4 linked regions of the Diceros bicornis minor genome follow. The protein of the gene in region 3 interacts with the protein of the main gene of each other region in a pairwise test. Links are inferred from orthologs where the notes say so. Each region holds a gene or a part of one and is shown on either strand. Other genes may lie near its edges. The genes, in order: MCM7, ATP5PO, PNMA1 and SEMA4C.

Region 1 (7,910 bases), on a different chromosome or scaffold from region 3:
AAGGGGCACTTCCCAGGGGCCTGCAAGGCCGTAGCTGCTCATCCTGAGCAAGGCTCTTTCAGGTGGCAGCAGCCTACAGGCTCAGAGGGTGGGAACAAATTATTTGGTCTGCACAAGTGTAGTATTCCTCCAGGCCTGGGGAGTGGGGAGGGCCGTGAGGCAACCACACTGCCTTTTCTTTCTTCCCCCCAGGTCCTATCCCTCAGCACCTCAGCCCCTGTCTCAGGCTCCACCACCACCTCTCCTGTCACCACCACGGTCCCCAGCGTGCAGCCCATTGTCAAGCTGGTCTCCACCGCCACCACTGCGCCCCCCAGCACTGCTCCCTCTGGTCCAGGCAGTGTCCAGAAGTACATCGTGGTCTCTCTTCCCCCGACAGGGGAGGGCAAAGGAGGCCCCACCTCCCATTCTTCTCCAGCCCCTCCTCCATCCTCAGCCCCCTCCCCACTTGGGAGCAGCGCTCTCTGTGGGGGGAAACAGGAAGCTGGGGACAGCCCCCCTCCAGCTCCAGGAACTCCAAAGGCTAATGGCTCCCAGCCCCCCGGATCTGGCTCCCCTCAGCCTGCACCTTGATGCTGTCACACATCTGCCGACCTTCTCCTCTCCCCCGATTCACACACACACACACATACGATGGGTGGAAGGAAGCAGTACTCTGCTTCCCCCACATTACTTTCTTTTTAGATATTGTACAGCCAGTTCCTCAAAATAAAAGTTTGATTTGTAAGTTCTGATCCACCTCAGTCCTTCCTGGGTCAGATACCACAGGAGGGTCCAACTAGTCAAGCCCACCTGGTCTCTAGGACTCAGGACTCTTCCAGCCAGATGCATAGCCACGGGCCAGAAGGCTGGAAGAGACAGTCTGGTCCTCTCAATCCACAGACCACTGCCTTTGCTGTCTGCGTCCTCGTGTGGGGAGCCTCAGATCCGAATGACATAGGCATCGCTGTGGCTTAGGTGTCGCACCCACTTGTGGGGGTTGGCATTGCCGCAGGGTCTGAACACCAGCCTGAGGAAGCGAACCTGGAGGCCGGAGCATGTGTGCCGGGGAAGTTCAAAGGAGAGGCTTGCGGGGCCCAGCCCCAGAGGAGGGGCTGAGGTGGAGGGCCCTTGGCCAGGAGGGCCAGGGAGGCCTGGGACATCCATCTGTGAGGGGCAGAGGCAGGGGGAGGGGTGCTGAAAGCACAGAGAGAAAAAGCAAGGGAAGCCAAGTGGCCAGGAAGCTGCCCACGCTGGCGGGGACAATGCAGCGTCTGCGTGAGGAGGGATGGGTCAGGGGGCTGAAAATGGAGGTGGGAGGAGAGGGCCTGAGAGGATCAGCAGCTGATACCTGGAAAAGGCCTGAGAGCTGAGAGCCTCCTTGCACCCGAGGCAGGTCCCAGTGAAGGGCTCCCTCAGCCAGCTCTGCCTTCTGCTCTGGGCTGCTCAGCTCCTGAGATAGGCTGGAGTTTGGAGAGGAAAGGTGCTGTGCTCAGCCTCTGCCTTCATCAGGAGCAGGCCAGCCCCACCCCTAGCTCACTCCTCCCCAGTGCCATGCCATTGTCCAGGGAAGCTGGTAAAACCACCCGAGCCCCCACAGTGCACACGACTAACCTGACCACCCCTCGTGGCAGGGGAAGATGCAGCCTGACGTTAAGAGCCTGGCTGCAAAGAAAGGAACAGAGTCAGCCCCAGGAAGGTAGTGATTTGTCCCCACTCTTCATTAATGTCACAATTGGAGTTCCACACAAGTGCCACCCCATCCCCTTCCCAAACTCTAGAGCCTCTAACTAAACTGGATTCCGAGGCTGGTGGCTGTATCTGAAGGTGGGAAGCAACAGGTTACTGGGCCTGGTCTCCTACCCCACAGCTGAATTCAGCTTGGCCACCCCGACTTGTACCTCTTTGGGGGCAGGTCACATCGTAACTTCAGATAAACCTGGAGCCTGGGTGAGAGGGTACAATACCGTTACTCAGGCCATACCCTCCTGGCATCTCACCATCCCCTACCCAGGGCCCCCACGCGTGGCTGTGTCAGTGCCCCAAGAAGGAGAGAAGGGCTCCATTAGCCACAAGTGTTCATGGGGCTGAGTGCACTTCGGGGGAGGATGCCTTTTTCCAACTTGTACCATATTACCTCGACCACCACCACTCCACCATAAGTCTTGAGAACATATAGGTATCAGCTTGGATTCCAGAGAATTTCTGGAACAGGGGAAATGGTCTTACCTGCCTGAGCCTCGGTCCCACTGCACAGAGGGAAAGAGCCGGAAGGGGAGCGGGGAGGGGAGGTCATCTGAGAGTTGGTACCGCATCACAGTCAGCTGAGGCCAGAGAGGAATGGAGGTCAGTTTGGTCTCCTCACACTTGAACTGCCTCCCTTCCCCCCAGCAGATGGAATATCTTAGGCCACCCCGATCCTGACCTCGCCCTGAGGTGGCTGCAAGCGGAGGATTCGATGAGACTCAAACTCATCCAGATGCACCGAGCTGTGAAATGAGACCTCATCTACCCGAATTCCTGGCCCATAACCTGGAAAGAGAGAAAGAGCTCTCCTAAGCCATATCTGGGGAGAGAAAAGCAGGGAGGGGGGAGTCTGTCTCTAACTTCACTCCATGAAACTTTTGGCAGTGACCTATACACCTAGGAGAGAAAGACCCCTCTCTCCTCACCTCTCAGTTCTGACTTCCCCACACAAAATTCTTCTGTCAAGCCGATGCACATCTCTGTCAGAGGAAAGGACATCAGAAAAGGCCACCAAATGCTGCCATGCACACCACCAAGGAGCCTGTCCCAAACCCCAGCCTGGGGCCAGCCTGCAGACTTCTCACCGGAGCCGCTGGGAAGAAAGCTCTTGAGTCGGATCTCTCCCTGCACATCCACCTTCAGCAGCGAGCCCTGAGAGTGGCAGGGAGGTTAGTGCCCAGAGGTGACCTCCCTAACACAGTTTCCAAATACCATCTGTCCTCAGCTCCAGGGCTGGGGGCCTAAACTTACGTTAGATGCTATCAGTACGGACAATCTCTCCACCACATCCAAAAACACTTCATTCTTTTGGCTCTGAGGAAGAGAGGGGATTTGGGTGGTTGGAGGCTGAAGGGCCTGTGTTCTAAAGTGGACAGGCAGAAAGGACAGGATAGTGGAGGCCAGGGCCCTGGGGTGGGGACACGGGGGTAAGGGATTTATCCAGCTCTGGAGAGGTGAAAAGAGATGCCAGGATCTTAGACCTGGGGTCCCAGAAAAAAGCCAGAGGGTCTGAACCCATCAGTCCCTCCCTCACCTGGTCGGAGCGGCTGGACAGGACAGGGCGGCTGGCTGCGCTGCTGGGGGCCACTTTGCTCTGTTGGGTCTCGGCCCCAAACTGTAAAGCACCCAAAGCAATCAATCCTCAGGTTTGATACTCCCTGCCAACCCTCCTCCCTCCTTGTCCTCCTCTCTCCCTCAACTGACCAAGCCAACGCTGCTGAGGTCAAAGAGGCTGAAAGGCTTGCTGACCACGGCCTCTGTCTGGATGAAGTTCCTCAGCATCTCTGTGGATGTGGTCTGTACATAGCCATAATCCTATGGACGGGGGAAAGACAGTCTTTGAGTGGTCAGTGGAGGGAGGGGGTGAAAATGCGTGGACTTAGCCTCGCAACCACAGGATATATCTTCAGGGATCAGGGGACAGTGAGGGAAATCCTTGGAACTTACCAGCACTTCATCCAGGAGTTCATAGACAAGAGCCACGTTGCGGGAGATGGTCCCCTCACCCAGGGAGCCACAGTAATCGCCCAGGAGAGTGGCTAAGCTGAGGAGACAGGATGGAGTGTGCATATGCCCCTCCTCTCAGACCCCCACGCCCAGGTGCCCAGGCCTGCCCTCCTCACCGGGACAGCAGCTCTAGGAGGCTGAAGGGAGAAATGTTTTCTGAAGTCGTGGCCACCAAATAGAGGCCGCTGTGTCGGATGTGAATAAAATGACGGTCATCGTGGTGCTGAGGCAGAGGCGGGGTGGGGGGGGGGGAGCATTAGGAAAAGAGAGTTGTCCTGTTTAAGGGCCCATGAGCCTGGGGCTCCTTTCCTGATTCCCCTACTGACTACCAGTGTGACTTCAGGCGAGATATGAAACCTCCCTAGAGCCCACCTTCCTAATGTGTAAAGGGAGTTAATGATGGTACCTACCCCAGAACTGCTGAGGATCGAGACGTGTGAGCACCTGTGCCTGCTATATTGTTACCACTCAATAAACTTGCGTTAATATTATTTGGAAGAATGCACTCCCCCGGTGGAAGCTCTCAGGGAAACATCCTGGGAGGAGGCGCCCCCCGCCCAGGCCAGCCAGGCGCACCCCCCAGTACTCGCCCCCTCCCGCTCCACGAGTGGTTACCATGACAACCGGGGACTCGTCTCCGGGCAGTCCCGTCAGCTTCCGGTAGAAGAGCTCAGCCACATCCCGGCCGCCACTGTCCCCGCGAACTGACCGGGTGGAAGGACAGCTAAGGAGCGGGCGACACAGGCTTGCTCTGGGGCACTATTCCCACCCAGCCCCTCCCCCGCGCCCCCCGGGTCAAGGATACAGTCCTTGTAGATGAGCGGGTCCCCTTTGGAGGACAGAATGAAGAACTGGGAAATCATAGGCGTTCGGAAGAGTAGACAAGGAGACAGCGAAAGTTGGGCCTACCCCGCCCGGCGGCCGCGGAACAAAAGGACGCGCGTGCTGGCCCTTTAAGAGCGAGTCTCCTCCGACCGCGGGAAACCCGGCGCCCGCCCCGCCTCGCCTAGTCTTTCCCTCTCGCCACCCGCGCCGCTTCCCAGTCACTCAGTCCAGGCTCGCCCGGTGATTGGCCGAGGCGGGGGCCTGCGGCGAGTGGGGAGGGTGGAGGGCCTCCTCTCCGATTGGTCCGCACTCAGTGGCGCCGGTCACGTGAGGGGCGACGTTTCGCGCCAATTTCGGTTGGTCGGCTGCAGTCCGCCGCGCGGACGTTCTCTGTGATCCCGAGAGTGAGAACCTTGAGGTCGCCAACTGCTGCTGCACGGCCCTCGGCAGTAATGGCGCTTAAGGACTACGCGCTCGAGAAAGGTAAGGGTGTGCAAGCCTGGCAGCGGCGTCCGGCCAAGACCTGTTGGTGTGAGCTGGGGTCCTGGGGGGCCGGGGGCGGCGGGCGAGACCAGAGCCAGGGTCGGGAGGTAGTGGGTTGAGGCAGACGGTGCCTGGGAGGCGCGCAGGGTGCTGAGGGCGGAGAAGAGCTGTAACCGTGTCAGGGAAGGGAGGACGGATCGGGCTGGGGGTGCGGGCAGCCTGGCTGGGGCTCCAGAGGGGAGGGTCGCGCCCAGGAGAGACCAGGACATCAGGGGACCCTGCTTAAGGCTCAGGCACCCCCGGGCCCGTTTCCTCCGCGCCCTTAGGCACTCTGAGTGCCCGCGTCCTCCCGAGACGCGCCGAAGCCCCGGGGGTGGGCGGTCTCGGGCCGCTGCGCGCCGGGATTGGCCATTTTAGGCCAACCTCCAAGCGGAAGTGAAGGCGGGCGGAAGTTGCGCGACGAGGCTGGAGGGAGTGTCGTGTGTAAACAGTGTCCTTCCGCGCGGCGGCCTCGGAGAGAGCTACTGAGGGCGGGGGCGTGCCTGGAATTGGGGGGCTTAGCGGGAGGCCGAGAGGGGAGATAGTGGGGGAGTACGGAGTGTCCCTGGACGAGCTGGCCAATCGCCGGACGGGCTCCCACCGTGGGCGGAGGAATCCCGGGCTGTGAGGCGGCGGCATCGGGGCCCATGTGCTTCTTTGTTTACTAAGAGCGGAAGCAGTGGCGGGAGAGCGGGTGGAGGACGGGCCTAGTGGCCTCGATCCCAGAGAGAGCAGAGGTTTAGGGGACCGAAAGAAAAGGGGGAGTCATAGGCGTGGAAGAAAAGCTGAGAACCTTGATTGCTGAGTGTGTTGCTGGGTGTGAGAGGCCTTTGGGATAGGCTGCAAAGGTTTCTAACTAAGGTAGAGACTGGAATTCCCCTGGGGGCGGGTGTTGGGTAATACTCCTGCCAGGGGCCCCTGATTCTTCCCTGTTAAAAACAGACTTGTTAAAAAGGAGTTCTGCCCAGTTTGGGGAGAATTATTTAGGCTTATTTAAATGTTCATATAATTAATTAGTTTACAGATCTTGTTTTAAATGGGGTGGGTTTCTTAGATTTCTATCAGAGGGGTTTACGGTAAGGTTATCTGAAAGAAAGAAAGGTTGATCGTCGTGATTTTACGTTTACATTATAGAAAAAGTGAAGAAGTTCCTACAAGAATTTTACCAGGATGAGGAATTTGGCAAGAAGCAGTTCAAGTATGGGAACCAGTTGGTAAGTGTAAGACTAGGTAGAGGGAATGGGGTGGTTGCTTAAGGAGCTCTAAGAGGTGGCCTGGCTTATTTCAGCAGTTACATTTGTCGGTAAGGGACACAAATTTAGCACCATACCTGATACTGGTAAGTGAATAGAAAGCTACGTTCATGATAACTAAGGTGTTTTCAGGAGTTGGAAGGCTGTCTTTTGGGGGCTGAGAAGTGAGTTTTGCTATGTCTCACACCACTCTTGCTCTCCTGTGGAGACCTGGAACCTATGTGTTGAGCTCACAGTGATGGGGTCCTTGCCTGTGAACACTGGTGAGCACAGTCATCTTAGCTCTGTTGCTGTCTCTTCCCCACCGCAGGTTCGCCTGGCTCATCGGGAACAAGTGGCAATGTACATAGACTTAGATGATATAGCTGAGGATGACCCTGAGTTGGTGGACTCGATTTGTGAGAATGCCAAGCGCTATGCACGGCTCTTTGCTGATGCTGTACAGGAGCTGCTGCCTCAGTACAAGGAGAGGGAGGTGAGTGGTTGCAGAATAATGCAGGGCAAGGAACTTAGGTTTCTGTTAAAAAGTTTCTCAGATACTGATGGTTTCTGAGCTGGCAGAAAGAGGGGCAGTGATTTCTGCTTGGTGCCTTTTATGCTGTCTTTTTCCCGTTTTGCCACTCATTTTTCGTATCTTCCTCCCTCTTCCTTTAGGTAGTAAATAAAGATGTCCTGGACGTTTACATTGAGCATCGGCTGATGATGGAGCAGCGGAGCCGGGACCCTGGGGCACCGCGAAGCCCCCAGAACCAGTACCCTCCAGAACTCATGCGCAGATTGTAAGTGGTCTCAGTGGGGAAGGGTGTGAGAATTTATCCTTCAGGACCCTGCTGATGACTATCTTTTCCCTTAGTGAGCTCTACTTTCAAGGCCCAACCAGTAACAAGCCTCGTGTGATCCGGGAAGTACGAGCTGACTCTGTGGGGAAATTGGTAACTGTGCGTGGAATCGTCACTCGCGTTTCTGAAGTCAAACCCAGAATGGTGGTGGCCACTTACACTTGTGACCAGTGTGGGGCAGAGACCTACCAGCCGGTATGTATGGAGCAAGAAACAAGCACATGCTTAAATTTGTTCATTTTGAACAAGAAGTAATTTTGTCTGCTGGTGTTTGTCATTTTCTCTGTTGTAAAGTATGCCTGTATATTCACGTTTTATTCTTTTTCGGGTATGTGGTGGTCTTTTCTGTTCATTTTATTCTTGGTGCCTGTTGATATTGATGCAGAATAGTTCAAGATGTTCTTGACAATCCATGGTATCTGCCATGAAGAAGAAATATGATTTGAGTGACTGATTCTAAGGGCCTCGTTTCCTTCTGATTTCCTGTGTTACTTCCTTTCTTATATCTTAGATCCAGTCTCCCACTTTCATGCCTCTGATCATGTGCCCAAGCCAGGAGTGTCAGACCAACCGCTCAGGAGGGCGGCTGTATCTGCAGACACGTGGCTCCAAATTCATCAAATTCCAGGAAATGAAGATGCAAGAACATGTGAGTTTGGGGTATGTGGCGCAGGGTCCAGGGAAGGTGGAGCTTGGGAGGCTACTCGAATCCTGCAGTCACTCGTGGACTAGAAGAGAG
Region 2 (7,763 bases), on a different chromosome or scaffold from region 3:
AGCAGATGCACCAAATCTGAAGGATAAAGAGTTTAAAATCATAGGGTCACAATACCTGGCATCCCTTTGTCCATTTCCTTCAACACTTCTTGTTCAAAGCCTGATCAGTTCTAGCCCAGAGGCCTCTGCCAATTGGCAGGACTGCCTAAAACCCCCTTTAACAGGGAAATCCATAGACCTGCATAGGAAGCTGCCAAAGTCATTTTCCTAATGTTGAGGTTTAAATGGAAAGGCAAGCTGCATATGAAGTTCTAAATCTGGGCTGCCGGACTGTGGCCCCGAGACAGCAAGTAGGTCTGGTCTGCTATACAGGATCCAGGCACAGATCTCAAAATTAACTCAGAGGAGAAAAGAACTAAAAGAAAGAGAAAATTGTTGCAGAATTTACTCTGAGATAAATAAATACACGAACAATGCAAACATTTCCCAGGTCCTTTCAGTGTAACAAAATGTGTAGGGAAAACCTTTGCCATGAGGGTACCATCCTTACTGTGTATTCTGCAAAGCTAAAGGAAACGTCCCCCAGGCTGGTGGAGTCTATGTCGAAGCTAATCTTGGGAAGGAAACTTGGAGGTCTTCTGGTCCAACTTCAGAGACTAGTCATTCACTCAGCTTCATGTCAGAAGCTGAGTGTAATCGAAACCAGAACAGATGGATCTCTCTTTAAGGGGCACATTGTTAAGTGACAGGATCATGGCATCCTTTTTTTTTTTTTTCTGATTATGGTAGCGACACATACTCATTATAGAATAATACAGAATGTAGTTTGTAATTTTTTCCTCGGTGTCATTAAATATTTTTCTATAGCATTAAATACTTTTTGAAAATCTCAATGTAATGGCTGCATAATGTGCCATTTTAAAAGCCACTCTCTTATGCTCAGACATTTGTTTCCAATTTTTTGCTACTTTATATTGAGTGAACATTTTGCACATTAACTTTCATCCAGATTTCTGAGTTTTAGAAAGGGGAAAGTCACTTCATTTTTTTAAAACATATGCAATTAAGGGTCTCATGACACCCACGCTGCTGTTTTCCATGCCAGCATATGGTGCCTTTGTAGACAAAGTAAAACAGTGAGCAATATTTGTTTTGAATTGAAAGTCAGCATAAAACAAAAATGTGGAGATTCAATGTCTGGTTGTGTTATCACTGTAGCCCTGCTCTGTGGCCTTGGGCAAGTCCCTTTGACTCCATCAGCCTCAGCTGTTAAAATAACTAATTTGTAAACAATTTGAGTTTGTACAGAGGGAAAGCATGATAAAGCAGAGTGTTGAGTCTTTTCCCTTCTGCTATGAAACAAAATTCTTTTTTTGTGTGTGTGAGGAAGATTAGCCCTGAGCTAACATCCATTGCCAATCCTCCCCTTTTTGCTGAGGAAGATTGGCCGTGGGCTAACATCCGTGCCCATCTTCCTCTACTTTATATGGGTTGCCACCACAGCGTGGCTTGACAATCGGTACGTATGTCCGCTCCCGGGAACTGAAGCTGCAACCCCCGGGCCGCCAAAGTGGAGCACGCGTCCTTAACCGCTATGCCACGGGCCAGCCCCACAAAATTCTTTTTTGCCTTTCCAAATACTCTATTAGCAGAAGGTATGGCAGTCACACAGCTGCGAAATTGCTGCCAACTGATCCCTTGTGAGAGTTTGCATCTGAGACCTTGGCCTGTCCTTGCAGGGCTCTGCCTGCAGTGAAATTTCAGCAGGTGCCCAGGAATCCAAGAGCAAGCAGAAAGAAGGTAAGTTTCAGCAGCCATGAAGTGGGGGAGTACCAGACAACCTACATCTCAGAGTTATCCTGAATCTCAAAATAAAAATGAAACCATATATGCACAACAACTTAATAAACCCTAAAACTCAAACAACCACAAACTGCTATTTTGGTGACACGCAAAAGGCTGGAGTGGGAATACAAAGGAAATAGAGAGCATCACCCTGCTGCTATGCAACTGTACAATTTACTTATAGTCAATTATCAACGCAATAGAGAGTTTAGAGTTTTCAAAGTGTATCAGGCCCGAGAACTTTTAATTTGTATTACATCTATTAACACCCACACCTTAGGAAACACAGGTTTTGTGGTTTGATTTCACATAGTACATGAGGTCTACGAAGGCAAGCACTTTGTCTGGTACCCTGCTGTACACTCAGGGCATGGAACTGCTGCTTACATATATTAGGTGCCCAATAAAATGTGTTGCATAATGAATATACTTTCCATTCAGCTTATTTGAAAATAGCCTCTGAAAATAGTTTGCAGAGTAGAGTGAAACAAGGGTTTTATGCACGGTGAGTGAAAGTGTAAATTGGGCAAAACTTTTGAAAAGCAGCTTGGCCTCATGCATCAAAGACTTTCAAATGGCTCATACCATCTCACCACGTTGTGCCAGGTCTAGGAACCTATTTGGAAGTTATCCTAAATATATATATAGAAATGTTTGTGTCTAAAGATGCTCAGGAGATGCCATATTGTTTAAAATAGAAAAAAAATAGAAGCCATCTGAATTATGTTCAAAAATCATTGAATAATTAAGTTACAGAATATCCACTTGATGGGTTATCTTGCAGCCATTAAAATGACGTTTATAAAATTTATATAACTTGGAAATATGCTTATATTATACTGTAAGCACGTATTCACAATTTGTATATAATTTAGCATCCTTTTTTTCTCTAGTATTAAGGAAAAGGGCGAGATACTAAATTACATACACATTATGAATCAGTATGCGTAACAAAAACAAACATATAATACAGAACAACGAGTGCCACTCTGTCAGGCAACTGTTCTAAGTACTTTACATGTATATTAACTTCTTTATTTTTCCTAACAACCTACAAGGCAGGTACTATTATAATACTCATTTTATCGATAATAAAACTCAAGCACAGAGAAGTTATATAACTGGGGAAGGCCATCGAAGGAACTGGGATTCAAGCCTGGGCAGTTCGGGCTACTGCCTGAAAAAATATTGGGAGACAACACACCAAAGTATTGACAACAGCTGCCTCTGGATGGTCTAAAAGAGGGCAATTACATTCCTTCTCCTTTTCTGCATTGTTACAAGTTTTTTGTAATGATGAGAAAACTGCACCCTAAAAGAGTAAATTAATGAATTAATCTGTGTTCCTATAAATAGATCTGAGCAGAAAAAGAACTTTTTAATTGACCATGGGACCCCATTATCGCAACCAGGGAACTCTGACCCGTGCCCTGAAGGCCAATTTTCTTCGGTACGCAAGAGAAAACTAGAGTAAGCTCCATTTAGGGGAAAATAGATTGAAATAGGTTGTTTTTATGAATGCAGAGAAACTGGCCAAGGCTAGCGTTGGGTTCTCAGTTCGTCACACTTGCCCAAACCCCAGTTCTCCTATTTTAGATCCGATTCTCAGATAATCACCCTGCCCTATCCAGCGTCAAGAATTTAGGCTTCAGAACCTCACACGCCCACAACCCAACCGGTTAGTGCTGTACTCAGGCAAGATGGGGCAGAGTGACGGCGGAAGGATGGTGGGGCAGTCGCCGCCCAGGTACTGGGCACGTAGAGTCCACTCCTGGAGTTTAAGGTTAGTTTTTAATACAACACGAGGAACTGCGTTTGATACACCCTTTGGCGTGGTAGGAAGAAGGCATAAAGATGCTAATGATGCTAGAGATGAATGTGAAATAGAACAAATGCCACCATATTTATCTAAATGGAAATTATAAAGCTACGGACAATAAATTCACTCTATAGTGAGGGCCGCTTAGTCAGTAACTCAAGGATTTCCTTTTCAGGTGCTGTGCGAGCCCACTACGCCCTTCCCAGCCCTGCGCGACCAGCTTTTACCACTCGCTTCCAAGGACTACAACTCCCAGCCTGAGGGAGGTCACTGCGCATGCGGCCTGACAACCTACGCCTACACTTCCCAGGGGGGCCGAGCGGCTACGCTGACGTACGCATGCGCCCTCCCGTGTCTCTCTCCAGCTCGGGTTTGACCTACAGCCGCCCAGGAGAAGATGGCTTCCACGGCAGTGTCCGGGCTGTCCCGGCAGGTGAGAGAACGGAGGTCCTGAAAGCCAGCGGGAGGATCCCTCCTGGGGTGACCGGTACCAGACCCCTAGTGCCACGGTGCGAGGGCACAGTCGAGGAAGCGTGGCCGCCGTTTAAGGTCGTGGAGCTCAGCGAGTGGGAGCAACGCAAGGAGGCTCCGGCGGCCCCGCTTTACCCGCGGGGCCGTGGGCGCGGGGCTGCGCGTGCCTGACCTTGGACCGTGGACCGTGGCGTCCTCCCAGCACAGCCTCGGGAAGCAGCTGGCTTGAGGGGCACAGGAGAGGGCGGCCGGCTTCCCTGGACTGCGAGAAGAGAACGTGGCCCACCCCTAGATCATCTTCCTTTGTCGTTGTGGTCACACCTGGCAGGGGTCACTAGTGATGCTAAGGAATATTTTTGTAAAGTCGTATTTCACGTTCTTATAAAGAAAATAGACAGAAAAGCTTAAATGAGTCGTCCTTCGCTGCTCAGCCAGTAAGGGGTAGAGCCGAGATTGGAACTCCGAGTCTCATAGAAGATGGAGCTGGGAAGAAAATTCGTGCTTTTTATGGTGCATGTCAACACAGGGCTGTACATAGCATGACCCCTTACAGGTTACGTAAGTTTTCCATAGTGTTAAAAAGTCTTTTAATCCTCAAAACCAGTTTTGGTGTAGTACACTCCAGAGCTAGTTATTTGAAGGTGGCCTGTACACTCTTGCAGGTGCTTTTAAGACTAGCGATTCCAACTCTGTTTCTTGGTAGACAAGATACCACCTCTCAGAATTAGGGCCTGTTCTCACATCAGAGTCTGCTGCGATGCTCGAAGGACTGGTCTTTATTTTCAGAGAGCATTTGGATTCTAAGAAGGTACATCTCTTGCAGGTCATGACTGGAATCCTCCCACTTTTTATTAAAATACTGTTCAAAGGTGGTAATATACATTCCAAAAATCTTGTTAAAATGTTTTTGAAATACGTATTTCATCGAAATTAGTGTTTTCTCTCTCATACTGGTGTGCTAGCCTGTTCCTGGCTGACTAGGAAGTTAGCGGGAAGGCAATTTCCTCAGCAAGTTGGGCTGATTCTTAGTAGGGAAATTTACTCATGGGTAATAAAGAGCAGCTCGCTGTCATGCAATCTATGCAATGATGCAAAGAAACTAATCATTTAAAAGTCATAGTTAATGTTTTTTATTACTGGTTTAAATGCAGAAATCCTTCCAGTAACCTTGTTTTATCTACTTTCCTTTATTGTTTTAAAGGTGCGATGCTTCAGTACATCTGTGGTCAGGCCATTTGCCAAGCTTGTGAGGGTATGTTGACTTATTCTTTGGTAATTGTAAAGCAGATAAAAGTGTGTGAGTCAAACAGCAATATAGTTAGGCATGGACTTTTGTATGGTTACTCCCTAAATCTTTCTGCACGATTTGCCATTCCTGAAATGTGATGTGTGCTTAGGGGAATGGAAGGGAATAATGTGGAATGCCTGCTATATAACAGGCCCATGCATAATTTTTAAATATGAGAATTTCTGGGGCTGGCCCAGTGGTGTAGTGGTTAAGTTCACACTCTCCGCTTCGGAGGCCCGGGGTTCACCAGTTCGGATCCCGGGTGCAGACCTGTGCACAGCTTGTCAAGCCAACTGTGGCAGCGTCGCATATAAAGTAAAGGAAGATGGGCACTGATGTTAGCCCTGGGCTGATCTTCCTCAGCAGAAAGAGCAGGATTGGCAACAGATGTTAGCTCAAGGCTAATTTCCTCACAAAAATAAGTAAATAAATATGAGAATTTCTTAAAACCTCATAACAGTAATGGGAAGTAGCTGGTCTTCCCATTCTGCAAAAGAGAAAACTGAGACTCTGGGAAAACTTGCCCAGGGTAACTCAGCTTGGTCTTAGCATCGGAACTAAATCTTTCTCATTCAAAGCCTAATCTTTTCCACTACAAGCCCACAGCACCACTAAGCATGTATAGTCATACACTGATGGTAGTGTGTAGGAAAAAAGCCTACAGGTTATTGTGAAAAATAATTCCAACATCAGGCACTTAGTAAATCGCTAAAGGGCTCCATTAAACTGAACATTGATGGGGAGGCTCTGTAAGGGAAATTTATAGTATTACTGTGAAATGTACAAAAGTATACTTGTATGTGTTTCATAAAGGCTTGATTTCCTGGCTCTAACATGTTCAAAACTGCCTTCTCTCAGTGTTAAAAACCTCCCATACTTGGAACTGAGTAGTTATTGAGTTGAAAGGAAGCGTAAGCTCATCTCAAAATTAACATAGTTAAATTACAGATAGTTAGAGCTGAAAGGGACTTTAGACACATGTTTCCTAAGCCCCTTGTTTTAAGATGAGGAATTGGAAGCTCAAAGATTGGGTGATCTGGCCAAGGAAACATCCCTAATTTGTTTGAAAATTGCCATTCAGGATAGCTCTTGGATGATATGTTTAAACTGTTTTGTGCTATAAAAAGATGTATTTTTAAAATTACAAATATTTAATTCTGCAATTGACAGCATAATATTGTCGTAACTGATCTTCCTTTTCCCTTGCTTCCCTACCCCACCCTTTGTATTAAAGCCCCCTGTTCAGATATATGGTATCGAAGGTCGCTATGCCACTGCGCTTTATTCTGCTGCATCCAAACAGAATAAACTGGAACAAGTAGAAAAGGAACTGTTGCGAGTAGCAGTAAGTAGCTTTCCTATTCATTACTTACTAAGTTCCCATTGTATATTTTTCCCTTTTGTTATTTGACTCTGCATCCCTAATGAGGTATATCCTAAGAGAAAAAGAACTGCAAAAAAAGAAAAAGAAAAACCTATTTTCTATAATCATATTGATAGTAGTAATACTGGGTGGTATTGTTCTGAACCTGTTGTATAATAGATGCAAACAGATACACATAAAGATATTAATATTAGGAACCAAGATTTCGGGCTAAGAGAAGAAACAGAAATAGAAAATCAAAATACAAGATGGTAAGTTAAGAAAAATTGCCATTCCAAAAGAGAATTAAAAGTCACCTTTGAAAATGTATGCTTGTATTCCAGGTACTTCCAAAATAGCCTTTAGAATATATTATGATTTTGTTTTACTGGGAATTTATTTTCCTTTTCTTTCCTCAGTTTTAATTATTATTTTATTCCAAGATGTGAGGGGAAAATGACTGAGCAGGGCGTGCTGGGCAGCATTGTAAAGGTGTATGAGCTCCATGATGATGCTAGAGAACTGACAGACTGTGAGGCTACTGAGGAAAGAAAAAAAAAACCTCGCAGGCTAGTTGCATAGAATAATACTTAACATGTTTTGTTCTTTTTCATTTTGAGCTTTTATTGGAACTTTTGTCCTAACAGACAATAATTTTAGCTCTGTATTCCTTCCATTATCCAGTTAGGTCTGCAGATAATGCCTGCGGTCTTAGTTGGTGTGGTCAACCCTTAGGATCCTCACAGAGCCAGCAGCCGTATTGTTGGAGACACTTGGTGGTGTGGGGGGATAGCAGGAGCAGACAGGATCTCACACAGGCATTTCTGGGGGTGATAATTATTGCCCACTATTTGTCATTTATGCCCATTTTAAACCTGAACAGTGGCATTCACAATGGAGAGCAGGACCTGAGTTGTGGACATTAGAATGGGGTTTAACTAAAACCTGGAAGTCAAGATGTGGAGACATAGAAGAGAGGCAATTACCTTAAGACTCTTTATAAATGAAAATTAGCTATTTTTTGGCTCTGAGAGGCA
Region 3 (7,499 bases):
CACGTGGCACGGCGGGGTGGGGACTGACCTCTTACCTGAGCCTCCCCTGCCCGGCTCCAGGGTGTTTTACAAGGTGAAGAGCCGCAGCGCGCACATGAAGAGCCACGCGGAGCAGGAGAAGAAGGCGGCTGCGCTGAGGCTGAAGGAGAAAGAGGCCGCGGCTGCCGCGGCTACTGCGGCCGCCGCCTCTGCGCACCAGCCGGCCCTGCGGGAGGAGAGCGCGGGCGAGAGGGGCTGAGGCCTAGGGCTCGGCGGCCGGGGAGCCAGGGCGGGCCCCTGCCCCGGGCTCCCGGCCCTCCCTGCACCAGCTGCCAAAGCGCCTGCAAGCACCCCGCCACCTCCAGAGGGAGAGAGGAGAGATCCCCTGGACTTTTCTCTGAAAAACGAATAAGACAATAAAATAAACGGCTCTTTTATTTATAAAGGCCCCAGGAGCAGTGTTAAGGGCTGCAGGATCCAGTTCCTCTTTGCATTCAGTCTGTCAGGAGTCGTCCTTATGCTTTCCTGGAACTGGGACAGTCCCTGCTCGCGGGGCTGCCCCTCTGGAGGGGCTCTAGCCGCTGCCACCGCTGCCTCTCACAGTGGGACCTCTGCTGCCGCGCAGTCTCTTCGTTTCCTCTTTGTTCTTCCTGCGCCCCTCGGTCGCCATGGAGAGCCAAGCACAAGCTCACCGCTCTGCCCGCCTCTTGCAGCATTATTCCCCCTCCCCAGAGGACCTCGAAGGCTGCACAGGCCCTGCCCCATGCCCCGGAAAAAGACTCCCTTCGAGGGAGTGTGGTGGCCGTCTCTGAGAGGGAGCTCTGCCTGGCAGGCGTGCTGTCCCCTGCACGATAATGTCCAGGCCTAAGCTGCTCCAGTGACCCTGTCCTCAGAGAAACCACCTCTCCCCTGGGAAGGAGGCTATGAGAATGCCTGGAGGGAGAAAGACTGAGGACAGGTGCCTGTCCCTTTGCTGCTTGCTAGCAGCCTGCTGGGGCTAGAAAGTTTTCTTAGCTGTTTGGGGAAGGCGCCAGTGTTGCGGTCCAAGCTCTCAGCCTGCTGGAGGGAAGGGAGCTGTGCAGAGGATGGAAGCTGCAGGGCTAGGCCTGAGGGAGCCTTTGATAAGCTGTGGCTTTTCCTGCTTCCCACCTTTTTACCAAATACCTTTGGGCCCTGGAGGCTGCTAAGGGAGCTTAGCCCAGGCCCAGCCTGCTCCTCCTTGGTGCAAGTTCCCTTCCTGCCTCTGTCCTGCCCTTGGCAGCTGCCACCTAACCCTACTTCACCTGGTCTAGTGCTGACATCCACAGCCTAGCCCCCAGTCCTGCATGCTGGAGATTTCTGGATCCTTCCCTGGGAGGGGAAGGTCTCCTAACCAGATTGGACAGGAGCCTTCATTCCTTGACTTATGTCATTTGGGAGCTATTTATTTATTCTTAATATTTAATTTTTAACATCCTCTCAGGGACCAGGGGCTTCCTGCTTTCCAGAGGCCCAAGTGCATTTATCCCAAAACAAGGCACCTTCTTGGCATCTGCCCCATCCCCCCATTCCCAAGACTCTAAGGTCCCTCGCCTCCTTGCTGTGGAAACTGGTCAATAGGAATGATAGTAGCACTGAAAGAGGGTGGAAAGGTGGAAGGTGTCACCAAAGCCGCACAGAGACTGGCAGGAACAAGGGAGAGCAAAGACAGTTCTTGTTGCTACCTCTTCTCTGGCTGTACTTTCAAATTGCCTGAGGGGATTGGCTGGAAGCCAGGATTCTGGTTTTGTTTCTGTCTTGAAGAAGCCATATTTGGCATGGAGTCACTGAAGTGAAAGGGCTGGAAGGTTCTGGAGGCCCCTTCACTTGCCAGTCTCATAGGAGGGCTGTTATTGTTTTGCTCTGTTGTGTAAGTTCTAAGTGAATGCAAGTATATGACAGGTGAGCATGTTAGGAAGGAGCCAAAAAGTATTCCTTCTGCTGCTCCCTATGAGATAGTCTAAAGGCATCACGTTGGTCGCTGGGAGTGGGGAGGGAGTTTTGTTTCTAAACTATGCACTATCAGGTATCTTTCAGCATTCGTTTATGCATTAATATGGTTCTATAGGACCCTAGCTATGGGAATACAAAATTCTTCTCCCCCCAGACTCCTGGATCTCCAGCTTCCCAGTTAGTTTCCTCCATAGGCTTCTACAAGCTCGATGTCCCAAGATTGGAAAAATCTAGTATGCCCTCCAGAAACAGAAGGGTAGCAAATTTAGGCTTTCTTCTAAATCACTTGTGTAATATGAGTGCCTTCGCAGCTTCGCCCCAAAGTGCTACTTATGTTTCCCAAGGTTTTTTCTATTTAAACCGTATTTAGTTTCAGGCCCTGTTATGGACATGCGGTAACAGAAACCTCCTTCATCTAGAGTGACTCTCCTCTTCTAAGCTCATGGAGACCAGACCAGGTGAATGAAGGTGGAGAAAATCAAGATGGCACCTCTCTATATTAATCTCACCAGAGACCGTATTTTAGAAGGGTTCATGCTCCAGGATGGATTTATATTTAGAATGCAACGTGCAAGTTAAAATGTTTGGAGGGCAGATGAAGTTGTGGCAAGTGACCTGCCAATAAAGTGGGTGCAGCCATAGAAGCTGGCAGAGGTCTATCCTTTATGGTGCTTTCTCCCTGTGAACACATGAGGCTCGTCTTTTGTATTTTCTTTTTCTTTTTTACTCTATTTAGAGCTCTTTGCTTTAAGAAGTTAAATGACAAACAGCTCCAGCTTTGTAATATCCTCCCCATACCATCTCACATATCCATCTCCCAGCCTCCATCTACACTCAGCTAAGGGCATGAAACTAACCTAGTGCCTGTGTCCCAGACCATTTCTGAGGTCTCTTACCCACCCAAGGAGACAGGGCTTCAGCACTGTCCTCCATGCCTTCAGCAGCCCCCCTCACAGCTAAGGTACACCCATCCCTTCTGCCACCCCACCTCCACCCCTGACACAGAGGTCGTGTGCTGCTTATGTCTAAAGGGATCCCCTATATTAAACTGCCTCAATGACCTAACCTCTTTCTTATGTGCCAGATGTTAAGATGAAGGAGGAATACAACACATACTCAAGCCTCAGCTGTTTAAATATGTTTTCTCTGGGGCTCGCTTTTCTCGGACGGCATTTATTACCAGACTGGCAAGCCTAACTCTTTAGGTTTACAAAGAGTATGCATATTTTTATAAAACAGTTGTATGTCCTCCCCATATTTTGCTGTGTTAATATTTGCCTCTAACTAACAATTTGCAGCTGTTTCACCTTTTCCTCATTTGTCTCTAAGTTGAAGGCCTTGTTGGAGGGGACAGCACAGGAACAGCCTTGACAGTCTGTAATTAGTGTACAAATATTTTAATAGCATATAAATAAGTATATTCCTTTTATTTTGAAAAAAATGATCAGACACTGCCTTTTGTGTGTTTGCTGCCTGTGGCACCCTTTTTTAAAGACTGTTACATATTAAAATAGTGTACATATATATAAATATTACCTCTTTTGCTGTACAGTTGTGATAGACCAGACTGAAGATTTTATTTTTTGTGTGCTTTTTATAAAAAAAAATTAATACACTAAAGAAAATCTTGCTGATGTGATTGTAATGTACCTATGTAACTTATTTACTTTTGAATGTTCTTCTGTATCTTTAAACCTTTTATTAAATAAGGTTTTAAAAATTCAGAGTTGAATGCTGTGTTCTTTGGGGAGATTTTCACCATCTGGGATTGATGTAGGTAGGCCTTGTTTTGCTTGCAGGGGATTACTCGACGTTTTTGAATTATAAGGATTCTGTTTTATTAGCCCATTGCCAATGATGCCAGGACAGAGGAAATAACACAGTAGCATCTGCCTGGCTGCAAAGATTACTGAATAGATACAGATCTTTTTATAAAATTTTAGACAAGAAAGTCTCAACTCAGTATCACACAAAAACATGTAAATGGCACACTTGCAACGTTTTCATTTCATTGGGATGAAATATGGAGGGTGCAGAGTGCGATCAGGTGGCACAGGGAAGCTGCGGTATTTTCACATGCCGCATTGACTGGCTGAATGAGTGACATGAGTAGACAAGTCTGCCTTGACGGATGCATTATCAACAATATCATCTTAAATCCACTCCAGAATTATATTATCTTTTAAACATGGTGCTTTGTAAAAAAAACTGGAAAATGAAAAACGAAATGCACCATCACAGAAACCAGTGCCCACAGCCGCTCGCTGGCACCATGGCAACCGCTCGACCCCTCCCCCCCACCCCCACCCCGCGGGCCGCCGCCAAGCGCAGAGCTCCAGTCGTCTGAGCCACCGTTGCCATGGCTACGCTCCGGCAGGCTCCGCCCCGGGGGCGGGGCGGGGCGGAAGCCGCTCAGGGGGCCGGCCCCGCCCTCCACTGCGGCAGTCCCGCCTCGGCTGGCCCCGGGTCTGACGAGTCCGTAGCCGAGCCGCGCCAGCCCGCGCGCACCGCCGCCCCTGTCCGCCTTCGCTTCCGCCACCTCTAGCCTTGCTTCTACGTCCTTCTCGCGCCTCCGCTGTGTCCTCGGTCCTCCGCGTCCTCGCCGCCCACAGGGGTTCCTGCACCCACGAAGAAGCCGCTCGCGGGCTGGCTCCGCGCCACCGCTGCACATCAGGACAGTCTCTCCCTCCGGAGGCGGCACAGTCCTCGCCTGCAAAGCCGCCGCTCCTCGCCCGCCTGAAAGCCCGGCTCCGACCGCGAACGCCTCATCGACTCCGGGAGCAGCAGCGAGTGCCCGGCGCCCCGGCTGCACAGAGGAGGCGGCCACGCCCCGCAACCACACCCCGGCGGCCTCTCCAGCCCCGCGCCTCCTGCCTTCGCCACCCACCCTCGCTCCGCGCCTTCTGCGCTGCGACACGACATCCTGCCTGCGGCCGGAGGACCCCGGCCGCGGACCCCGGCCAGAGACGCAAGATGGCGGCGGCTGAGTGACTGACTGACCGAGCATCCCCACGGCTTCGCTCCGAGAACGCGCCGACGCACTGGCTTTGGGGGGGCAGCGAGAGGACGAGAGCGGGACTCTGATGTCGTTTGTTGTGATTGCGTGAATCTTGCTTCCCGCGGGCATATTGGGGGAGAGTGTCTGCTGTTGTCCTAAGTCCTTGAGCAAGGGAGCCATAGTCGAATCCGTATTCCTAGCGTTAGGGTCCTTGATAGTTGGGAAAATGGCGGTGACACTGTTGGAAGACTGGTGCAGGGGAATGGATGTGAACTCCCAGAGAGCCCTGCTGGTCTGGGGGATCCCAGTGAACTGTGATGAGGCTGAAATCGAAGAGACCCTCCAGGCTGCGATGCCCCAGGTGCCCTATCGAGTGCTTGGGAGAATGTTCTGGAGGGAAGAGAATGCGAAAGCAGCCTTGTTAGAGCTCACTGGCGCTGTCGATTACGCCGCGATCCCCAGGGAGATGCCGGGTAAAGGAGGGGTCTGGAAAGTGGTCTTTAAGCCCCCGACTTCCGATGCTGAATTTTTAGAAAGGCTGCATCTCTTCCTAGCAAGAGAGGGGTGGACCGTGCAAGATGTTGCCCGTGTCCTTGGGTTTCAGAACCCCGCTCAGGCCCCAGGCCCAGATATGCCAGCGGAGATGCTGAATTATATTTTGGATAATGTTATTCAGCCTCTTGTTGAGTCCATATGGTACAAGAAGCTGACGCTGTTCTCAGGGAGGGACATCCCGGGGCCTGGGGAGGAAACCTTTGATCCTTGGCTGGAGCACACTAATGAGGTTATAGAGGAGTGGCAGGTGTCTGATGGCGAAAAGAGGCGGCGGTTGATGGAGAGTCTTAGAGGCCCCGCCGCTGATGTCATCCGCATCCTCAAGACTAACAATCCTGCGATAACCACCACCGAGTGCTTGAAGGCGCTTGAGCAGGTGTTTGGGAGCGTCGAGAGCTCTAGGGATGCGCAGGTCAGATTTCTGAACACTTACCAGAACCCGGGAGAAAAGTTATCTGCTTATGTCATTCGTCTGGAGCCTCTGCTGCAGAAGGTGGTGGAGAAGGGGGCCATAGATAAAGATAACGTGAACCAGGCCCGTCTGGAGCAGGTCATTGCCGGGGCCAACCACAGTGGGGCCATCCGAAGGCAGCTGTGGCTGACCGGGGCTGCGGAAGGGCCGGCCCCTAACCTCTTTCAGTTGCTGGTGCAGATCCGCGAGGAGGAGGCCAAGGAGGAGGAGGAGGAGGCTGAGGCCGCCCTCCTGCAGTTAGGCCTGGAGGGGCACTTCTGACTCCCAGGAAACCGGGTTTCAGTGCAGACCTGGATCACAGCTGCTTTCCTTGTCTCTGGGCTGTCTTACAGGTGTGTCTCTTAGTAGTAAAGACTCAGCCGTGTTCTGTTTTCTGGGGGGGAAGTCAGGTCTGCGTATTTATGTAACATTAGTAAAATTGTGCAAGCGAACACCCTGAGCTGCTACAAGTGAGTCATGCTAGCTATAATTCCAGGTAAAGGCTTGGACACAAGTGCTCAGTGCAAGCAGTCCTAGTAGCATCATCATCAGTTGTGAAAAACATGTGAACTTGTGACAGTTCCCATCGAGGTAATTAAATGTGAAATTGCATGTTCAGATGTTTAGCGTAGGGCCTGGCTAACACAAGAAGTGTTAAGTAAAAATGTGAACTGTTGTTACTAATATCGTGAATAGTTTTCGTGTTCACTGTAAATTGTTCCTGATTTATATTAATGGAAAGAAATGTGAATTAATTAGATATTATTCAACTTTATAGTGCAGATTTCTTATTTTTCATCTTTAAACATCTGAATCAGTTTGATTGAAAAGATTTCTGAGACTATAAAATGGGGTGTTAGAAAAATACTGCAATTATAGAGCTGTGTAAATCAGAATTTTTCACTGTTCAAGATACAGATATAAATTGCATGAACCAGTTACGGTATCCATTCCATTTCAAACCTTTGTCATTGAACAGTTCTCCTTGTTCATACTGATTCTAAGCATTCTAAATTTGAAGTTATCAAATACATGTATATGAATAAAAATATTTTAAAAATTCTATTGTCTTCTCATTTTTCTGACATATATAAAAATTTTCAGTGTAATTAAGATCTATATCCTCTTTTCTTAGAAAGACTTCCCCTGTCACTAAAAAATCAAACCTCAATTATTTTATCTTTAAGCTTTATATCATATTATGAAAGTTTAAATTACAATATCTTTTAATGTACTCAATTTTTGCCTGTGTTCTATAAGGCAAGTGTTAGAAAGCTAAATAGACATAAGTGAATATTAACTTACTATAACATGTTAGAAAATCCTGAAATGGGGTTTAGGAGTTTATCGAGCAATGCTTTTTCTCCCCTTTGAAATCCCTTATCAGCTGAAAATGTTTGTTTCCATGCAGGCGTAATAACTCATCATACCTGTGAAACGAGTGTTTCAGTTTTAGAGTGGCCATTTTATATCAAGAGGATATAAAAAGAGAAATATGGCTTAATAACATGTCTCTTTGGCTGCAGAGATTTAGTGACTGAAGAT
Region 4 (7,922 bases), on a different chromosome or scaffold from region 3:
AAGCCCTGCTCTGGCAGCCTCCCTTCTGGCCTCAGTCCCTCTGACAGGCTGCACCGGCTGGCTTAGGAGCCCTTCCCTCCCCTAGCCCCCAACCCTTGATGGAGACAGCTGGGTCTGGTGAGAACTGTTTCTCCAGCCCCTCTCCCAATGCTCCTCGGCTCCCAACTCGCCTTTCCTGTGACTTCTCTCTGCCTGTCCTTCCCCCAGCAACCTCTGACTTGGGGCTGACACATCAGCCACAGGCTGTGGCTTGGGTCTCAGATTTCGCAAGTCTCTGAGAAAGTTGGAGAGCAAACCTCACCCTCAATCCCCAAGGAACTAGATCCCACTAGTCTCTGGTGGGAAACAATGTGTTTGTCATGAAAAGAGAGAAAAGTGATTCGTGGCCTGGCCAAGCCAGGGGGTAGGCCCCACCTTCCTTTCACACCGCCCTGGGCCTGCAAGCAGTGAGTAGAGGGAACCCGGGCAGGGCTGTGGTTAAGTGGCCTGTTGACCTGCGAGTCCTCACATGGACCATGAGCCACAGGACTCCTGTCACTCCGCGCCTGGCACAGAGGAGGCCAGTAGAGGATGGTGAATGGACGCTGGGCACCACCTGGGCCCCGGCTATCACCTTATGTTTTTCTCCTTGACACAGGCCCAGTACTTCAGCCCCTGGAAAGACATCTAACAGCGTGGCAGGGGAGGCCAGGGCTCTTGGCTCTGGCAGGAAGTGAATGGGGCCTTGGGAACTGGAGGAAGCGAAGAATGGAGGCCAGAGGAGGACCAGTCTGTTGAAGCCAGAGCCTGCCTCCGCCGTCCCTGACCCCACCGGGCAAGGGATCCCTGGCTCGGTGCCTAGCCTGCCTTCAGCTCTCCTTCCTCTCCCAGCCCTCTCCTCTTCACCCAGGGTCTTTATCTCCACAGCTCTGGTTTCCCTGGGCCTCCTGGGTCCTCCCGGGCCTCCCTACCCTCCTTCTTCTCTCTCTGTCACCAGTGTGAGGTTTCTTTGTGCACATTAAAGTCTTATTTCAGCATCTGTGGTTTAGAAGATTTCCTTCAATCCCTATCCTGAGGGCTAACGCCCAGTGTCCAGTTGCCTGACGTCTCTGCTCAAGCTTTCACAAATTCTCACCTCCGACAGCCGTGTGACCGGGTCTTCGGCCCTGCCCCCTGCAGCAGAGGGCTGTGTGTAAATCCTGAGGAAGAGCAGTTATTCCTGTGGCCCCAGAGCTGTCAGACACCCAGAGAGCAGGGATGGGGAACATTTGTTTGGACCTAGTCTGGGACCACTCCCCACTGGCCGCCTCTACCGGAGAAGATCTACAGAGTGAGATGGTGGATTGGGGCTGTAATTACACTTAATTCAGTTTATTGTTAAGCTCTGAAATCAACTCCCCAGACTTAGGAGCGAGGGGGCGGTGCCAAAGACAGTTCCAGATCCTGCTTTTGCTTTCCCTCAGCCCTAGCCAAGATCAGTGTCGTGGGCCCTGGTCCCTGATGGGGTGCTGGATGTCTTTGACCTGCCCGCCCTGGTAAGTGAGTAGGCCCTCTGTACCCCTAGGAGATCCCTGGTATCCCCTTTCTCCCTCTGCCCACTCCTCCAACCCTGAGAATCCATTTCTAGTCTCTGGCCCCTCCTGACTCTTTCTGGGTTGGGATGGGTTTTGCAGGGGCCACCAGAGGTAGACAGGAAGTAGCAGAGGATGGCCTGCGCCCACCCCTCAGCTCAACCCGAGTGTCCACCGATGGAGCTCCGCCACGGCGGGTGCTTATGACTTTCTGTGTGTGTGTGTCCCTCTCTTTTGCGCTTTCATACCACCGGGGTCAGGGTAAGGCAGGCTGAGTAGGAGCGAGACTCCCACCAAATAAAGGACTTTCAGGCCAAGTGGCTCAATTTGCAGACCTGAAATGTAGCCTGTCACTTCCTGGGGCTGTTTCAGACACAGCTGCCTCCCTCACTGGGTCCCCAGAATGCTGGGAGAGAGGGTCATCTATAATTCAGAGGGCACGAGCCCAGGGCAGAGTGCTGGGTGCAGTACGGGACATCTCCCTGCCTTGCAGCCTCTGCCAGGTGAGAGGCGGAACCCTCTATCAGGGTGACTTGGGTGCCCAGGTCACTTGACTGAGAGTTCTGGTTTCTGTTCCTGGCCACCTCACGGGCCCCCTTGGCTGGGGGCACCACTGAGGCCCCAGCGGCATCAGGTAGGCCTGAGATGCTCCCATAAAAGTGCGGCGGCCCTGGTGAGCCAGCCTCCTTCACCCTCCCTCAGGGCTGCCCCTGCTTCTGACACTGCACATCCTGACAGTTAATCCTCAGCTATTCAGTTTGCTCTGGAAACCTGGAAATCACCTTTGAAATTTCCCTTCTTTGTTCTCACTGCCAAGGGCAGAGAGGGAGTAGGGAGACCTGAGAGGCTGAACTGGGGAGTTTCCAGTTCTCAAAGCTGCCCCTACTTGGCTCTGGGAAAGGGATCAGGCTGTCCATCAGTGCAGACATCTGGAGCCCTTCTCCTCAGGCCTGGATCTTGTGCACTGCCCTGCCTCTCACTCCCCAAACACACTGATCCCCAAGAGAGAAATGGACACCAAGGAGAGAGGAGGTGTGGGTGACAACGCAGTCCCTCCAGAGACCTGGCTGTAACCTGAGCAGAGAGGTGCACTTTGAGGTCACCCAAGGGCACACGGCATCCCCTGGGACGTGTAATAGGCCCTCGCTGGAACTGGCTGGGAGCTGACCAGATCTCCTAAAACTAGTCCGGGACCAGTGAGAGACTCGGCCTCCTCCAGGCCAGGAACTGCTCAGTGGTGCTGGCGACTTCTCTGCTTGCCCGTTCCAGATCCCTGAGCCTCTGGGGAAAGGCTGAGGGATATCCTGATTGAAGCCACTGGAAAAGCATCCGGGGCTGTGATGACGGATGCTTTCCTGCTTCCTTTGGTGATGGTGGCAGGGAGGGGTTGGGAAGGGAAAGGCTTCCCAGGTGGGCGGCTTCGATAACTCTCCTTGAGGAGGAAGTGGAGAGAGGAAGCCCTTTTCCTATGTCCCCGCTCACCTCGGTCCCCAGGCCCTCAGAAAGATCCCTGAGGGGTGGCTGACCCAGGCTTTCTCATTTCCCTTCTGTGGGTAATCAGCAGCCCTGGCTCCCTTGGGAGTTGCTCAGGCATGACTAGAGAGGCCCAGTGTGAACGCTGGGCCCCTCTCCTGTCAGAAAGCTGCCTCACGAGAGCTAGGGGGTAAGGAGCTCAGCCGACGGGCACCATGGTGCATGACAATGTGTAGGGGAGAGAGGGGGCCTTGCTTTTCAGTAAGACTCCTGGGCCCATCTCTAGGGGCTGCCCTGAACTGCCAGTGGATCCTTACAGGACCTCAGAAGGCATTCAGCACATCTCTGTCTTTTCCTTGACTTGGCCACAAGCTGTTGAGCAAATGGGGCAAGTAGGTGGGTCTGTCAAGGCCTATGGGCTGAAGGATGGGTACCTTCCATCTTAGAATATGCCAGACAGGCCCTGGGGAGACTTGATAGGTACATGAGCCTTTTTTTTTTCCTTAGTATTTTTTTTGTTAATGTTAAGACCCAGGAATTCTCATTTTGGACCAGTTGTGTTTCTATTAAAAAGTGTGAATCATAAGCAAGTAGTCATGCAGGAAACTTATCCCCTGCCCACCCACCCATGGAAAAGGCCAGTGCTAGAAATGGACAGAACACAGCCGGAAGTGAGCAAAGGTAGAAAAAGCAGGGAAGAGGGGCTGCAGCCTTATCTTGGAGGAGCGTTTGGGAGGGAAGGGCTCCCAGGGTCTGTTAGCAGGAACAGAGAAGCCAGCCCTGAGGTACAGAAAACTCTCGCTGCCAGTGAAACCAAACCACCTTTTGAAACTTTCCACTGGGGCCATCTTGCAGGTGGAGCCAGGAGCTCAAGTCTCCACCTGGTAACCCTTACTCCTAGAGGGTGGGGGTGGGGGTGGAGGTAAGGCTTGAAGGTGAGGAAAAACAGCAAGAAATAAAGTGTTTGGGGCCTAAAAGTTGTCAAGAGACACTGTGACTTAGTGGAAAGACAGAATTGGGAGTCCCAAGACCTGATTTAACATTCTGACCTTACTAATTATCTACCTGACTCGGGCAGCTTGCTTAACCTTTCTGAACCTTATTTTATCTATAAAATGGGAGAAACAATACCTGCTTTTTAAAGGGTGGTCATGAGGATGGAGTGAGAAAATGTACGTGAAGGCAGGTTGCAAAGTCTCAAGCACAGAACAAAGGTGAGGGAGTCTGCAATCAGTTGACCTCCACTTAAGAAGACACAGGCTCTAATGTGGATGAGGGGTCCCACACACCTCCTCCTTGCCTGTCGGCTGAAGCAGAGAGCCTTCCCTGCCCACCCCGTGCTATTGTTAACTGGCTTGCCCCCTATCTCCAGCATCTCCAAGGGCACAGCTTTTTTTCTGGTGAAAAGGAGCTGGGAAATGTGGCTTTGGCCAGCGTGGGAGAAGGGGCCTTTATGTGTATTAGCAAAGACCCAATTGTTACTGAATCCAAACTGGGCTGCCTTTCCCAACTATCTCCACTCCTCTTCTGGGCTCCACTTTTCAGATGCCAAGTTTTAACCCAGAACAAAAGCTCCTGTTGGGACTGATTTATAATCCAGATCTGCTGACAGGCCCTAAAGTGTTCCTCCCCTCCACCACTGCACTGGGCTGAAAGTTACCACGAAGCCTCAGGGCCTCCAGTCTCTGCACCTCTGTCCGTTGCTCCCAGCCGGGAGGTGGCATCTGTCTCCAGGTGCCAATGGGGTGGCCTCCCTGGGGTTCCTCTGCCCACCTGCCCAACTGCGAGGACCAGCTGGCAAGGAGGACACTCCAGCGCCGCCCAGGAGGCCAGAGCTACAAGTTACTTACAGGAGCGGCTGTGGGCGGAGGCTGACGGCTCTGAAGGTAGTAGATCTTCTCCTGCCTAGCTCCCCTCAGCCCCTGATCTGAACATCAGGGCTCATGTCACTTGTTATTCAGCCTTCTAGTGGCACCAGGAGTCATTTCCTGGGGGTGGGCTCTGTGCAACAGGAGTGGAGGGTTGTCTTCACCGGGAGCTGGGAAGGGGCACTGAGCAGGGTCCCTCTGCGTGGAGGGTGAGAAATAAGGGGCAAACTGCCTCCGGCGACTAGGGGGTCTTCCTGGCTGGTGAGGCCCGTGCCAGTCTGACTGCAGGGGCCAGTGGGCGTTGGGGCCAAGAAACGAAGCAGAATTTGGAGCCAAAAGACAGACCACTCTGGTCCGCCCGAAGAGAAGCCTCGCTTTCCCCTGCGCTCCTCCCTCGGATACTCGCCCTGGGGTGGCTTGCTTGCGTTCGTTCCTGTCACCGCAGCGTGGGGAGCCCCTCAGCCCCATTCCCGAGCCCGGCCGCCCAGCCCGCGGTTGGCCTTGGGGGACACTTCAGAAAGACCGGGTGAGTCCGATTCCCCCATGGCGATGCCCGGAGTCCCTCCCCCGCCCCACCTCCCGGCGCTGTGGCGCAGACCGCGACTGCGAGGCGCGGGGCGGCAGGGCACCAGCAGGGGCTGGGGATCCGAGCCCCCGGCCCGGGAGCGGGGGGGCCGGCGGGTCGCAGCGGGTCGCAGCCCCCTCCTGGGCGGGCCTTCGCGTCCCGCCCCCGGCCTCTGCTCGACCCCCCCGCCTGACGTCAGGGGGGAGGGGGCGGAGAGCCGCGGCGGTGGAGAAAGAGCCGGCGCCCGCCGCGGTGGCGCGGGGAGCCCGAGCCCAGGGGCGCCGAGCCGAGCCGGGCCCGAGGGGCGGTGGCAGAGGGGCAGCGGAGGAGGGCGGGCGAGCGCGGGCGGGCGGCGGCGCGCGGGTAGGGGCGGACCGTGGTCGGAGGCGAACGCGAGGGCGGCGCCCAGGGATTCAAGCCGCGAAGAAGAGGTGAGTGAGGCCAGGGCTGCGCGGGGCCGGAGCCCCGGGGCGGCCGCTTTGTCCCCCGACTCGGGCTGGGGCCGCCGCACGCGCGAGGGACAGGGTCGGGGGGTGCAGGGAGCGGCAGCGGCGGGGACAGCTGTCCGCCCGAGATCCTTCGTGCGCCCCCCGCGGGCTGCCTCGCGGGGGCTCGGGAGCGGGGCGAGCAGTGCCCGCAGCCTTAGGGTCCCGAGGCGCGGACTAGTCAGGGGGAGCGGGGCTGAGGGGAGTGGGAGTCCCTCGTGCTGTCTCGTCGGCGGCCGGGATCCTCTCCGGGTCCCTGAACTGCCCCCGGCTCCCCCACCCCCGACGGAAAGTTTGGGGCGGGCTTGGACTGAGGCCGATGTTGTGGGATCGGATTTCCCTGCCGCGGCCCCTCGCCGGCGCGCTCGTTCCGCTGGGAGGGCGGCTTGTCCTGGAAAGCCAGCTCCCGACCTGAGCCGGGCCGCCCGGTCCCCGGCTGGAGCGCTCGCCCTGCAGCCGCGGGAGCGCCGTTCGCGGCCCGCCGTTTGGGGTGGGCCAGGGTGGGGGTCGCGCCGCCTGGGTCCCGCACCCCTCCACCCCCACCGCCGGGGCTGCCCCAGTGTCCCCCGCCCTGGGAGGAGCTGGGGGTGGGGGCAGCGCTGTGCGGGCAGATCCTCGGAGCGCGCCGCGGGGTCCGGCGGGGGCCTGGGGTAAGGGGCAGAGGCAGGGCTGGGGGTGTGTTGGGGACGAATGGGGTGGGGAACGTATCCCCAACCCCCCGCCCTTCCCGCGCTGGGGTACTAGGCCGACAGGGGGCGTCCGCAGGCCGGGCTCCGCCACGCTCCCAGCGCCGCCGCTTTGTTTGCATTCAAATCCCCGGAGCTGGGGGAGGGGAGAACCCGGGGGGCCAGGAACGGGGACCCTTTGTTTTGGGGTGAGCAAGTCCCCAGCTTCTGTGTCTGTGCCCGGCATTGGAGAGCCAGAGCAGTGGAAATTAATGCAGAGGGCCTGGCCAGGCCGGAGTCCCGGGGGCGCGATCCCGGAGTTGGGAAGGTTCGTCAGACCCCGCGGAGCGCAGCAGGCGCCCGCCCTGCGCGGGGCGTCCCCCGCGGCCCAAGAGGAACCCCTCTCGCACTCGCCGCCCGGTCCTCACTGTCTCCCGCCCCCGCCTGAGAGCGCCGCGGGGAGAACCCTCTTTAGACCGGAGCCGCCTCTGTTGTCCCACCGCCCCTCAGCCCGAGGGCTAGTGTCTCCTAGGAGGCTGTGCGACGAACAGGATGAGGCCCTGGTCATTTCCACGCCCATCCCGCCCACTTCCTGCCTCCCTTCTTGGGCAACAAAGGGGCCTCGGGAAGCTGGGCCCCTTCGGCTGCCGGCACCACTTCAGCCCTGCTGATGTGGAACGGGGTTTTGGGCTCTGCCTGGCTATTGTCTGCGCTGGGGGAGGGGAAAGGCTGGGGCCAGGACCCCCGCACGCCTGCTGCACCAAGTACCCCCTGGGGAAGGCTTTTCCAACCGCCTACCCCACCACTTGCCCCCTCACCCTGCTAAGGGGTTTGCGTCCCAGAATTAGATCTTGGGGCAGGCTGGAGCCCCAGTGGGGGCAGGTCTTGCTTCCAGAGGTTATTTTAAGAAATCCTCGAATCTCTTAGGCCTGAGTGTGGGGGATGGGGGTCCCCTTTTTATTTTCTCAAACAACTTCCTGTTGAGGAGAGGGAGTGGGGGAGGGCCTGGAGGCCACAGAGCGTTTCTTGGAGTGTCCACTCCTCCAGCTGATTCCGTTCCTCCCCCTCCCCTCAGGGAGACCCCGTGGTCCTGTGGAGGCTTGTGGAGGGGCGGAAGGGGAGTAGGTCTCTGCTCCAAGGACAAGGGGAAGGGAGGAATTCATGGGGGCTCCTGGGGAGGCCTGATCAGGTCTTGTGTCTGTCAGTGCCTCCTGGCATGGGCTTTGTGGGCCCCCTTCCAGTTTGTTTTCTCTGGCTGTGATTCTGACGCTGTCTTTTCCCCCAGCAGGGCAGCTGGCCTGGAGCTTAGAGCCAGG

What was found.
Region 1: the proteins of PNMA1 (region 3) and MCM7 interact in binary tests that used the Homo sapiens proteins (3 or more experiments, as listed by UniProt). The two-hybrid records come from large-scale screens. The link is inferred for Diceros bicornis minor from reciprocal best matches to the Homo sapiens genes PNMA1 and MCM7.
Region 2: the proteins of PNMA1 (region 3) and ATP5PO interact in binary tests that used the Homo sapiens proteins (3 or more experiments, as listed by UniProt). The two-hybrid records come from large-scale screens. The link is inferred for Diceros bicornis minor from reciprocal best matches to the Homo sapiens genes PNMA1 and ATP5PO.
Region 4: the proteins of PNMA1 (region 3) and SEMA4C interact in binary tests that used the Homo sapiens proteins (3 or more experiments, as listed by UniProt). The two-hybrid records come from large-scale screens. The link is inferred for Diceros bicornis minor from reciprocal best matches to the Homo sapiens genes PNMA1 and SEMA4C.

Annotation. Positions count from the first base shown.
Region 1 is NC_080765.1:5,668,565-5,676,474, forward strand, and holds the start of MCM7 (DNA replication licensing factor MCM7), read left to right. Parts: upstream 1-4,908; 5' UTR 4,909-5,009; coding exon 5,010-5,040; exon of another isoform or gene 5,041-5,323; intron 5,324-5,754; exon of another isoform or gene 5,755-5,940; intron 5,941-6,213; coding exon 6,214-6,293; intron 6,294-6,642; coding exon 6,643-6,807; intron 6,808-6,986; coding exon 6,987-7,111; intron 7,112-7,185; coding exon 7,186-7,366; intron 7,367-7,682; coding exon 7,683-7,820; intron 7,821-7,910. Other genes in the region: TAF6 (transcription initiation factor TFIID subunit 6), read left to right, coding at 193-573; AP4M1 (AP-4 complex subunit mu-1), read right to left, coding at 922-1,176, 1,331-1,442, 1,594-1,644, 1,881-1,925, 2,209-2,303, 2,405-2,511, 2,652-2,705, 2,811-2,877 and 7 more. UniProt on the Homo sapiens protein: Acts as a component of the MCM2-7 complex (MCM complex) which is the replicative helicase essential for 'once per cell cycle' DNA replication initiation and elongation in eukaryotic cells.
Region 2 is NC_080766.1:34,363,940-34,371,702, reverse strand, and holds the start of ATP5PO (ATP synthase subunit O, mitochondrial), read left to right. Parts: upstream 1-4,761; 5' UTR 4,762-4,832; coding exon 4,833-4,883; intron 4,884-5,276; coding exon 5,277-5,327; intron 5,328-6,597; coding exon 6,598-6,708; intron 6,709-7,763. UniProt on the Homo sapiens protein: Subunit OSCP, of the mitochondrial membrane ATP synthase complex (F(1)F(0) ATP synthase or Complex V) that produces ATP from ADP in the presence of a proton gradient across the membrane which is generated by electron transport complexes of the respiratory chain.
Region 3 is NC_080763.1:21,878,207-21,885,705, reverse strand, and holds PNMA1 (paraneoplastic antigen Ma1), read left to right. Parts: upstream 1-4,497; 5' UTR 4,498-5,174; coding exon 5,175-6,236; 3' UTR 6,237-7,017; downstream 7,018-7,499. Other genes in the region: MIDEAS (mitotic deacetylase-associated SANT domain protein), read left to right, coding at 61-238.
Region 4 is NC_080779.1:15,759,049-15,766,970, forward strand, and holds the start of SEMA4C (semaphorin-4C), read left to right. Parts: upstream 1-4,921; 5' UTR 4,922-5,349; coding exon of another isoform or gene 5,350-6,118; intron 6,119-6,285; coding exon of another isoform or gene 6,286-6,522; intron 6,523-6,682; coding exon of another isoform or gene 6,683-6,763; intron 6,764-6,997; exon of another isoform or gene 6,998-7,034; coding exon of another isoform or gene 7,035-7,186; exon of another isoform or gene 7,187-7,894; 5' UTR 7,895-7,922. Other genes in the region: protein FAM178B, read left to right, coding at 638-670; transcription initiation factor TFIID subunit 4, read right to left, coding at 5,350-6,118, 6,286-6,522, 6,683-6,763, 7,035-7,186.